3 linked regions of the Elephas maximus indicus genome follow. The protein of the gene in region 2 purifies or fractionates together with the protein of the main gene of each other region. This does not show direct contact. Links are inferred from orthologs where the notes say so. Each region holds a gene or a part of one and is shown on either strand. Other genes may lie near its edges.

Evidence for each region.
Region 1: the proteins of VAPB (region 2) and OSBPL10 purify together in Homo sapiens (affinity purification with mass spectrometry; 4 studies listed by BioGRID and IntAct, counting the BioPlex papers as one, with this or other methods). This does not show direct contact. The link is inferred for Elephas maximus indicus from reciprocal best matches to the Homo sapiens genes VAPB and OSBPL10.
Region 3: the proteins of VAPB (region 2) and VPS13A purify together in Homo sapiens (affinity purification with mass spectrometry; 3 studies listed by BioGRID and IntAct, counting the BioPlex papers as one, with this or other methods). This does not show direct contact. The link is inferred for Elephas maximus indicus from reciprocal best matches to the Homo sapiens genes VAPB and VPS13A.

What each region holds. Positions count from the first base shown.
Region 1 is NC_064845.1:7,589,858-7,593,603, reverse strand, and holds the start of OSBPL10 (oxysterol-binding protein-related protein 10), read right to left. Parts: upstream 2,777-3,746; coding exon 2,343-2,776; intron 1-2,342. UniProt on the Homo sapiens protein: Probable lipid transporter involved in lipid countertransport between the endoplasmic reticulum and the plasma membrane.
Region 2 is NC_064843.1:10,890,725-10,894,470, forward strand, and holds the start of VAPB (vesicle-associated membrane protein-associated protein B/C), read right to left. Parts: upstream 2,836-3,746; 5' UTR 2,604-2,835; coding exon 2,546-2,603; intron 1-2,545. UniProt on the Homo sapiens protein: Endoplasmic reticulum (ER)-anchored protein that mediates the formation of contact sites between the ER and endosomes via interaction with FFAT motif-containing proteins such as STARD3 or WDR44.
Region 3 is NC_064827.1:93,519,516-93,523,261, forward strand, and holds the start of VPS13A (intermembrane lipid transfer protein VPS13A), read left to right. Parts: upstream 1-721; 5' UTR 722-887; coding exon 888-987; intron 988-3,746. UniProt on the Homo sapiens protein: Mediates the transfer of lipids between membranes at organelle contact sites. Binds phospholipids. Required for the formation or stabilization of ER-mitochondria contact sites which enable transfer of lipids between the ER and mitochondria.

The sequences.
Region 1 (3,746 bases), on a different chromosome or scaffold from region 2:
CTGTACTACCCAGGGACTCCTTTTTGGTACATAGTTGTTGTTAAAGGAGACCTGTTTGCACAGTAGTTAAGCGCTTGACTGTTAACCAAAAGGTCAGTGGTTGGAACCCACCAGTTGCCACGGGAGGAAAATGTGACAGTCTGTTTCCACAAAGACTACACCCTTGGAAACCCTATGGGGGCAGTTCTACTCTGTACTGTAGGTTGCTGTGAGTATGAAGGATGGGTTTGGTTTGTAGTTGTTAGTTGCCCTCGAGTGGATTCCAACTCATGGCCACCCTGTGTCTACAAAACAGAACTGCTGCACAGGGTTCCCAAGGCTGCGAACTTTTGGAATCGGATCGCCCAGGTGCTCAATAAAATAATCACTGAATCTATTAATGAACAAATGAACACATTTTCAAGTTTCTTATCTTCATTTTCTTCTCTCTAGTCACTAATCCAGGTTTCTCTTTAGAAGGCTCCTTGAGAAGCAAGAGTGTGCAATCACAGAGCCATCATAAATGTTTTCCAGACCACTGATGAACCCTCAGCCATCGTTCAGAGAACGCGGATGTGGGAAGTATAAATCCTGACACTAAAGCATTAACCATTAGACTGAGACAATGCTTCTAGGGTCGGTAGAACAAACATAGGCAGACAGCTGTAAATCACAGTAAATAAATGCAACAGTGTACAAGACACCTCTTTCACCTACGCACCCTGCAATCACACAAGATGATGACGGCGATTTTACCTCTTCTCAACTTTGCCTCCCATCTACACTCCCCAGTGGATTTACAATTAGGTGAAACCATCAGTGTCCCCAAGCAAGGAAAGTAACTGTAATCCAGGGCAAAAGCTCTGCTGGCATCATAAGGTACTTGAAGAAAAAGCATTAAAAGTGATTGCTCAACGCACAAACAAAACGCTGTCACTGACAAGGCACCCTGGGGCGCCATTAACCAGACACAATAACCAAGAACGAAAGTCAGATTTGGTCACCTCTTCTCCGTCACCCTTCCCACTCTACCTAGTCTTTTTCAGCTCTCAAGAACTGAAAGGGGACAGGGAGAGGCAAGAGCCAACACTGTGGTTATTTTGAGAAATACAAGGATTCAAAAGTTAAAGTGCAACTTTGGTTAACTTAGTAACAGGTCTCCAAGGAAACCCAGGAGCCTGGGAAAGTTCTGTATCAATATAAAAACCACCTAGTTTCCATACTTTGGAAGTCATCACCTTCCTAGTGGAGTTTCATGCACGTCTGCAGGTCATACTTCAGTTGGGATGTCCAAGCTGAACATTTCCAAACAAGCTACAGGAAGACAGACCACCAAGCAATAATCTGGGTTAACCAACAGAGAGATAAGCAAGACCCCCCACAGGGTGATCCAGAAAGCACAGCATCACTAAGAGTCCCTCGTCTATTAAGACCCATGCCGCTATTAAAGGCAAAGACAAGACCCCCTTTCCAGAAAGGCCTCTTCGACTTGCATGGACAACTCATATTTCCCTCTGGCTTCTTTTTTTTTTTTTTTTTTCCTCTTTTTAAAAAACAAAGGAAAACGTTCTAAAGAGTAATACCACTTCTACTCATTTGAAAATCTTCCTCATTCCAATAGTCCATGCACTACTACCACCCCAAGTGTGCTGGAGTCGCTTCCCAGGACATTCTCATCCGCCCACGTGTCCATATTCCCAGCTGTAGGAGAGTGAGCAGAAAACTTCAAAAAGCATCAAGGGGGGAAATAACAACAATGTAAAAAGCCAGCCGCCCATACCGAAAGGGGAGAGAGTGTTTAAAACACACACACACACAAACGAACAAAAACCCCACTAAATTTCCTTTGCAGAGATTGGAGGTTCGAATGGCCAACCGGAGAGGGGGTGCTACACGCGCGTTAGGGGGCGCCGAGGACGACAAGTGGCAGGGGCTTTGTGGTGCTTGCTCTTGTTTTAATCACCAAAGTTTAAACCGGACTATTCTGTGAAGAGAATTGCTGTGAATGGACCAGACTGTTAACGCTTTTGCTGCCAAGCCCAAAGCCGGCCCTCTCTGCCTCCCTTTCTGGGCTATTTTCACCGGTGGGGGAAACCGCTGGCAGGCCAGGCACGGGGACCAGGACGCTCCCCTGCCACTCCAGTGCCTGCAAGTGCCAGCACAGAAGAAAACAAGGGCTCTGGCCTCTCTCTGCCACTGCGGTGCGGTCCCGGGTGGGGTCCTGGCGCGCCCCCACCTGGGGACCCCACCTCGAGGGGGAGCCGGGACGCAGGAAGGGCCCGGTGCCGAGGCACGGCCGGTCCGCCGGTGGCAGCACCGCGCGCGCACACGGCACACACACTGCGCGGCGGCGGGCGCGTTACCTGTTCTGCCAGCCCTGGAGGAGGTTGGTGTATTTGCTGAGCACGCCCTCGAGCGCTGGCTCCCTCCGGCGGCCGCCTCCCCCGGACGGGCTAGCGGCCACCGAGCCCGGGCTGCTGCGGCTGCCTCCGCCGCCGAGCCCGGCCGCCGGCGACCTGCCGGAGACCCCCCGGCCCGCCACGGAGCAGGAGGGCGAGGAGCCAGCCGAGGTGGCGCGGCTGCTGCTGCGGCTGCTGCTGTCGCTGCCCCCGCCGCCGCCGCCCTCCACGCCCGGGGCCGTCCTCTCCATGGTCCGTGCGCGCCCGGGGCGCGAGTGCCCGCCGCGGTGGCAGCCCGGGCGCTGGGCTCGGGGCGCGGTGGCGGCAGCGGCGGCTGCAGCTCCCGGCGGCCAGGCGGCGCGCGGCTGCTCCCAATCCCCGGGAAACGCCTGACTCATACAGGAGGACGAGGAGGAGGAGGGGAAGGGGAGCTGGGACGGAAGCCAAGCGCGGGCTGCAGCTGCGGCCGCCCCTCCTCCCGCAGGCCCGGCCGGCTCCGCCCTCCGCACTACTTTCCCGGGCCAGTTCGGAGCGGTGGCCGGCTCGGCGCGCCCCAGCGCTGGCCTCCACTCCCTGTCCTTGTGGCTCTGCGACTGCCCGGGCCTGGGGGCGAGGGCGCTCCGGGGCGCGATCCGCAGGGCGGGCACGTCCGAAAGGCACGCCCGGTCACCCCACGTTCCCTGCGTAGCCCCCTGTCTGATCACGGGGGGCCAAAAGGGAAACCGCGCGCGTCACTCCCCACCCCCAACCCACCTCGGGACCCGGAGGGGGGCGGCCCCACCCACCCCATCCGCCCGGATATGGACCGGGCCGACCCAGCACAGCCCAAGAGCACTGCCCTTCTCTTCTGCGCACGAGTGTGGGCCAGACACACGTAGGCAGGAACCTGGAAATCAGCCTCCTGGGCAGAGTAGGTACCGGGCACCGAGGCCCTCGGCTTCTGCTGCGAATCGCTCTCGCAGGTAATCTCGCTGCGAGCGTGAGAATGCTGATAAACGCGCAATGGACACCAGAGCCGGGACAGGATTGAGGCAGGCGAACCCTCAGCTTCATGCAGGTACTGCCTTAAATTTTTTACCTAGGCGCCTCACTTGCCTATTGCTGGTATAAAAAACTACCACTAAGTGCTAACCAAAAGGTCGGCAGTTGGAATCCACCACCCGCTCCTTGGAAACCCTGTGGAGCAGTTCTACTCTTTCCTAAAAGGTCACTATGAGTGGAAGTCGACTCCACAACAATGGGTTTTAAGGGGGTTTTTATAACAACACAAATTTCTTATCTTACAGTTCTGGTGGTCTGAAGTCTGAAAAGAGGGCTTAAGGGCTAAAATCAAGGTGTTGACGGGCTTGTGCCCCTTGAAAGCTCTAG
Region 2 (3,746 bases):
AACTTGAAGTCATGAAACCAGGTGTCTAGATACAACCACCAATATCAGCATTGACAAAGCACTGAACACTCATACCACCACTGAAAAGCTGAAGTCATGAAACCAGGTATCTAGATAAAACCACGAATATCTGCATTGACAAAGCACTGAATAGTCATAACACCGCTAAAAAGGTGAAGTCATGAAACCAGGTGTCTAGATACAACCACCAATATCTGCATTTATAAAGCACTGAACAGTCATAACAGCACTGAAAAGATGAAGTCATGAAACCAGTTGTCTAGATGCAATCACCAATCTCTGTATTTACAAAGCACTGGACGGCCACAGATAACTGTTTCTAAACAACGAAGCTTTCTGTAGGACGTGCGCATCATCCCTATTGACGAAAAGTAGTTCCAGATTTTGGCAAGTGAAGAGGTCCGCCCAAAGTCAAAAGAACTGGAACTTGCACTTTCTCAAATCGGTGCCTCTTTCCATAACATCGCATTGGTGCAGTGTTGGTGCTGGGGTGGGGGCTTGGAACCGCTGGGGGTCAATCCAGGGAGGACTGTCTGACGAGAGGCCCATGAGGGTAACTGGAACACCGCTATGTCCAACTTCTTTCCACTCTCCAGCTTCATCTCCACTTGGCCCTGCACCTCCAACAAATGCTCTCTGCAGCTATCATTCAGAACTACTAGCAGCACTCCAAAGGGGTCCAGTCATCCCAGCCTTTGCACCTTGTATATGCAATTCCCTCTACCTCAAATGGTCCCCACCCACTTCTTTTAGCCTACTTCCATTCGACTTCTGTAACTCAGCTCAAATGATACCTCTTCTAGGAGTTGACCTCCTTATCAAATGGCTCAGCTGACCCCTTCCCTAAACTTAGGTACTGGGGTGGTGAGCTAGGGGCCAATGCAAGAAGTACATCTCATGTGACTCAGCTTCTCCTCGCACCTGACACATAGTAGGCGCTCAGTAAGTGTTTGTGGACTAAACGAATGAACACACCAAGTCACAGGAGCAACCGAGTCAGGCTTCCCGGGACAGAGAACTTCAGACGACTCAAGTGGAAACCATCTCTCACCACATCCACTCAGGCACTCAGATTCCTTCCCCAGCCCAGCTCCTCCAGGAGAAGGCCATGAGAACATCATGCAAACCAAAGTACTGTCACAGAATTGTGACCTGTGCTAGGTTTTTGTGTTTTGCTTTGCTGTTTTCATCTTAACTGGAAAACCTTCAGGTCCATTTGGAGTCATTTCAGATTGTGTACCTAGGAGGCAAAGTGACAGTCACAGTTCTGGAGTATTTCCCAGGGGTCACACAGCATAACAATGAAAAATGCAGGCTTTGAAGTCTGGGTTTGAATGTGCCGCTTGCCAACTGGGTAACTCTGGGCTAGTCACCCTACACTGCTTCCTAACAGTGCATAGTCACTGGGTGCTTATGGCCAGCATTCATTCCAAAAACACCTATTCAGTACCTACTGTGGGCCAGGTGCTGGTGATATAGTGGTGCCTGGCTGTTCAATCTAAAGTGTCCCTCCAACAGGTCAGCCCGTTTTATTTCCTTCACAGCACTTAACATAATCCACAATGATCCTGTGAGTTTGTTTGCTGGTGTGTTTGTCTCCCTTAGTTAGAATGTAAGCTCTCTGAGAGCAGGGACCTTGTCCATCTTGTTTACCGCTGTCTCCCAGTGCCAAGCACACGCCCACCACACCATTAAAAGCTCAACACATGCGGAAAGAATCTATGAGCAAGTCAGACAAGGTGCCTGTTGTCTCACGTGCTTGTATTCTGGTGGCGAAAACAGTCCAAAAAAAGCTAAGAAATGTAAAGGTACAAGTGAGCAAGACGAAAGTTGCACCTAGGAACCGAGGCTCTGGCTCGCCACAAACTCACGTGCTACTCAGCTCCATCTCCAGGCAGCCTTGGGGAGAAATCGGATCCAACCATTCTGTCAGCACTGCCCCAGCTGCAGGACATAAGCGAGCAAAAAGACACTAGAAAGAAAGTTGGGCCATGTCCTATCACAACTCCTGCGGAAGTTCCTTTCATTCATTTGCTCAGCATGCGACTGGCCGCCTAACGAGTGCACAGGGGATGAATGACAAATCCTGTCCTCATGGAGTTTCCCTTCTAGCATTGAAGACAGAAAACAAGTTAGTTAGCGGGCAGTTTGGATGGTGACCAGTGCCTTGCAGACCACAGAACAGAGAGCTGGGTCACCAGCTGGGGACATCCGGGCTGAGACCTAGGAGGTCAATCTCGTGAAGAGTGCTTACACTCCAGAGCAGACCACAAACTAAACTAGGCGATAACAGTGACAATGACAACTGTGACAAGTGCCTCGAAGGCGAGGCGCCCCGAGAGGCCGGGGCGGCAAAGCAGCCTGGGCCCCCGCGCGCGGCCTCTCCGGCCCAGGCGGCTCCTGACAGCTGTGGGGGCGCCGGGCCTGCACCCCCAGAACTGGGGTGGGGCCGCGCAGCCCACGCGGGGCGCCGGCCGGGCCTGGCCGGAACATGGCGGCCGGCCCGGGGGCCTTCGCGGCTTACCTCGGAATTTGAGCTCGTGCTGTGGCTCGAGGCTCAGGACCTGCTCCACCTTCGCCATGTTCCTCGGCGGCGCGGCACCTTTGGTGGGGAGACCCCTGAGAAGTCAACTGAGGCGGGAAGCGTTAATGCTGCGCCCCCTTTAAATTAAAAAAAAAAAAAAAAAAACAGGCCAGCGGGGCGCTGGCGGGGGTCGCGACGGGGTGCGTGGGGGCGGGGGCGACCTACGCGGTGCAGGCGCAGGGGCAGAGGGCGAGGGCGAGGCCGCGGTGCCCGGCGAGCTGACGGCACGCACGCACGCACGCACGCACGCAGCGACGCACGCACGCGGCGGGAAGCGGCACCCTGCGCCGGCTCCAGGGGCGGGAGAGGGAGGCTGCGGGCGGAGCCCTCCCCTACAGCAGTGCGCAGGCGCAGGGGGGCGGGGCTGCCATGCAGCAAGGGGCGGGGCTTCGTGCAGCCCTGGAGGCGGGGCCGCTCCGGGCTGCCCAGAAATAATGACAGTCTGGGTGAAGACTATTCATTTTTTAAGGGCCTTTTGGGGGCCGGCTGTTGCGTTAAGTGCTCTATTCAATAATGATAATTAATAAGGATAAACTCCACTTTTCCCTTGCCTATTTAGTGCCAGGCACTGTTAAAGGCTTTGAGCAATAATGAAAGTACTATTTATTCATCTTATTATTATAAACATGATGTTTATGAGTGAATGATACGTGCTAGGCGCTGTAACGTATCGTAACTAATAATTATAAATATAATAAACGACCAATTATTGCTTGCTTATTTTGTGCCAGACAGCTGAATGCTTTCAGTAATAACAGCCACTATAATAAATAAAAGCTTTTATACACTGAATGTTTATGATGTCCCAAGCACTGTGCTGTATCTTTGCTAATAGACGCTATTTATGCAACAAATATTTAGAGATACAAAGGTCAGGAAAGTTGACGTAGTTCCTACCCTCTTGCTTCATAGTACAGCCTAGTGGAGCGACGTCCTTTCATTAAATAACCATACACGTAAATATAGGTTTAAAAATTGCTGGGATCAGCTTGACCTCAAAGTGGAACATTCTGCATCATTATTGCCATCGAACTTGTATTTTATTACAGAATGTTTGCTACATAAAATGTGTGTTCTTATTACTGTCTTATACATTCAGAAGAAAGACCTGGCAATCTACTTCTGAAAAATCAGCCACTGA
Region 3 (3,746 bases), on a different chromosome or scaffold from region 2:
GTGACACTCTATGGGATGAAAGGCTAGTCCCTGTAGATTCCTTGACCAAAAAAGGGTGCCCATCTCCAGTGCAGGGAAGGGGGCGTGAATTCTAATCCCGCGTTTACTCTTTCTTTCTCCCCACGATTTACAGCCGGGAAGTCAAAACACCTCAAGGGCAGGTGCTCCGTCCTCGCGCCGCGCTCGGAGGACCGGGAGCGGCAGTTACAGGCGTCCAGACACCCAGGCTGGGCAGACCCAGGAAGCCGGCAACACCCCAGGCGTTGCCTCGGAACCTGTAATAATGGGGGTGGGAAGTGCTTCCTGAGACACCCCTTCTTGAAGGCCCCCGTCTAACAAGGAATGGGTTCAGCATGCCCCCTCCTAAAATCCCCTCTTTTAGGCGCAGGACTTTTGACCCCCTCTTAGGGGCGGGGCGCTCCCGTCGGATCGTAACCGCCGCGTCGCGCCCTGCGTCTGGTCTGGACGCGCGTCGTCCGCTAGGGGGCGCAGTGGGAAAAACCTTGCAGTTCTCGCTGCGTGGCCCGTTGCCGGGAGATGAGAGGGGGAGGAGGGGCCGACGGGAAAAAGAAGCCCAACTTGGCCCAGATGGGGCAGGCGCAAGAGTCGCGGCCGCGCAGCCGCCAGTTTTCCCTTTCGGGCCGGCGAGCCCAGGTTGGCGCCGCGCTCAGCCCCACCCCCGACCCGAGCTGCGCACGCGTCGCGCACGCGGCCGCCTCCGCCCACCGCAGGGCTCGCGACGGGCCTGCGCGTCTGGCCAGTGGTGGCGCTACAGTCGGAGGCGCGCCGGGGCCGGTGAACCGAGCGTTCTCGAGGGAAGGGTACGAGGGGAGGTGCAGGAAGAAGGAGCGAGGGGGCGGCTGCGTCGCCCGCTGCGGCTCAGGAAAATGGTGTTCGAGTCTGTGGTCGTGGACGTTTTGAACCGGTTCTTGGGGGACTATGTGGTGAACCTGGACACGTCCCAGCTCTCTCTGGGCATCTGGGGAGGTAACGAGAGCGCCGCCGTTCCACAATCTCACCTTCCTCCTGCTCCCCTAGCTGCCCGAGCCGGGCCCTGTCTGGTTTTGGGCTTCAGGCCCTTTCCTCCCCAGGCGCTGCCACCCACCTGCCGCCTGCCTTTTTGGCTCAGGTTGCGTAAACCGGGTGGCGGTGTCCGAGCTCTCGCCCACGAGTTGTTTTATTTTATCGGGTGGGTGAGGGATGAAAAGATCCCCGTTTCCGAGCGGAGCGGTGGGCACCGATCCATGAATCTTGAGTTCAGATCCCACCGAGGAACCCTTTCTGCCCGGCGCGGTCCGGCTTCAACTGCGCTGGGCGAAAGGAAGCGACGAGACGCTCCCGGGTTTGGTTTCATCCCTGTCATTTTCCCCCTTGGGTTATGCTGCAGGCCCCAGAGAGCCTACGAGTGTGGCACGCTGCCTCGCACGTGAAGGCGAGGTGCTGTGACAGAAGACGCCCTCCTACTTCTTTCCCAAACCTGTTTTCGCTAAACCCAGGGTGTTTTCCGGCTCCCCCTTCAGGCTACACAACCTAGACTCCGGGTTGCCTCCCAACGTTCGGCTGATAACCAAAAGCGAAACTCCTGTGCAGAATATTTCAAATGGTTGGTTGTGTTTTCTAAGTTCACAACCTGACCAAGAATGTGTCACATCTGTGAGGCTTTGGGATTTTGTGTGTCAGAGTGACTTACTGAATTAAAAAAAAAAAAAAAAAAAAGGTCCTCCGTCCGAGAGCTCAGACCTACAAAAAAGACGGGGACGAACTTGAACTTAACGCTCCTTAGATGGTGCAGGACCGAAGCTTTATTTTGTCTCAGTTTACGGTGATGCATCATCTTATTTAGAGCCTCATTTTTAGTGCTTCCATCTGTTTTTGTATTATACCTTTATTTACTTTAAACACCCATTAGAAATTAGAGTGCTTTATGAACTAATTTTCCATGCCAGTCAAAGCTAGGGTTTATTTTTTGTGTGAATAATATATTCTGATTTTTAAAAAAGTGATTACGTTTTCTTGAATATGTACTTACTTTCACCCCTCTAAAATACTTGTTTATCTTGATTTTTCTGGTTTATGAAATAGTATAAATAGGCAATTTATTTTGATGAAGAAAACCTCTTGTTACTGATGTTTGGCATGATAGAGTGGAGTACAAGAACTAAAGACATCATAGTGCCAGAAGCTTGCATATTGTTTAACCTGTACTGCTCCTCAATTGCAAAGTAAAAACAATATAGGTCGTCTTCGCCAAACTGGGAAGGAAACCTTAAGAACACATATGAGAGACATGCTTTGATTTGTAGTGGAAGGTTGTTTTTAAATTCAAGATGAAAGTTTGTGTAGAGGGTGATTTATCAGCGAATTTATTTGTTTAAAATTTACATACAGTAAAATTCATTCTCGAGGTGTACAGTCCTATCTTGACCAATGTGAAGGGGCATGTGCCTACCATCACAATCATGGTATAGAAATGTCCCATCAGCCCCCCAAAATTCCCTCTGCTGTTCCTTTGTAGTCTGCTGCCTACCCCCACACCAATTTTTGCAACCACTGATTTGTCTTTATGTGTACAGTTTTGCCTTTTCCAGAATGCCATATAAATGGAATTATATGGTATGTAGCCTTTTGGGTCTGTTTCTTTCACTTAATTTCACTTCTTTCACAAAATGCATTTGACAGTCATTCATGCGTTGAGTGCATTCCAATGTATATATTTTTATTGTTGTAGAAATACACACACCAAAACATTTACCAGCACAACTTCCGTATTTACAATTCATTGACATTGATTACATTTTTCATGTTCTGCCAATTATTGCTATCCTGTTCCAAAATATTTCAGCACTATTGACATAAACTCAGTGCCCCCCAAAGACTCCCTTTTTCTCCCTCCCTCGCCTTGCAACCATTAATAACCCTTTACGTCTATATATTTGCTTATTTCATATAAACCCATTACCCACTGCCATTGAGTAAGTGATATTATACAGTATTTGTCCTTTTGTGGCTGACTTATTTCACTCAGCATAATGTTTTCAGGGTTCGTCTATGTTGTGGCACGCCTCAGAACTTCATTTCTCTTTACAGCTGGGTAATATTGCATTGTATTTATATGCTACATCTTGTTTATCCGTTAATCTGTTGTTGGACATTTCGGTTGTTTCCATCTTTTGGCTGTTGTGAAAAGTGCAGTGAACATTGATGTACAGGTTCCTGTTTGTGTTCCTGCCTTCACTTCTTCTGAGTATATACCTAGAACTGGGATTGCCGGGTCATGTGGTAATTCTGTGTTGAACTTTTTGAGGAATGGCAAAAATGTTTATCCATAGTGGCTGTACCATTTTACGGTCTCACTAGCAGTGGGTGAGGGTTACACTTCCTCCCCAACCTTGTCAACACTCGTTTGCCGTTTTTTTTGATCATTTCTATTCTCATGGGGGTGAGGTGATACCTCATTGTAGTTTTGATTTGCATCTCCCTAATGGCAGTGTTGGAAACCCTGGTGGCATAGTGGTGGTTAAGTGCTGCGGCTGCTAACCAAAGAGTCAGCAGTTCGAATCTGCCAGGCGCTCCTTGGAAACCCTATGGGGCAGTTCTACTCTGTCCTGTAGGGTCGCTATGAGTCAGAATTGACTCAACGGCACTAGGAATGGCAGTGTTATGCTTGAGCCCATTGTTGAGCTCCTGGGTCAATCCATCTTGTCCTTGAGGTCTTCCTCTTTTTCAGCCTACTCTCTCTTTTACCA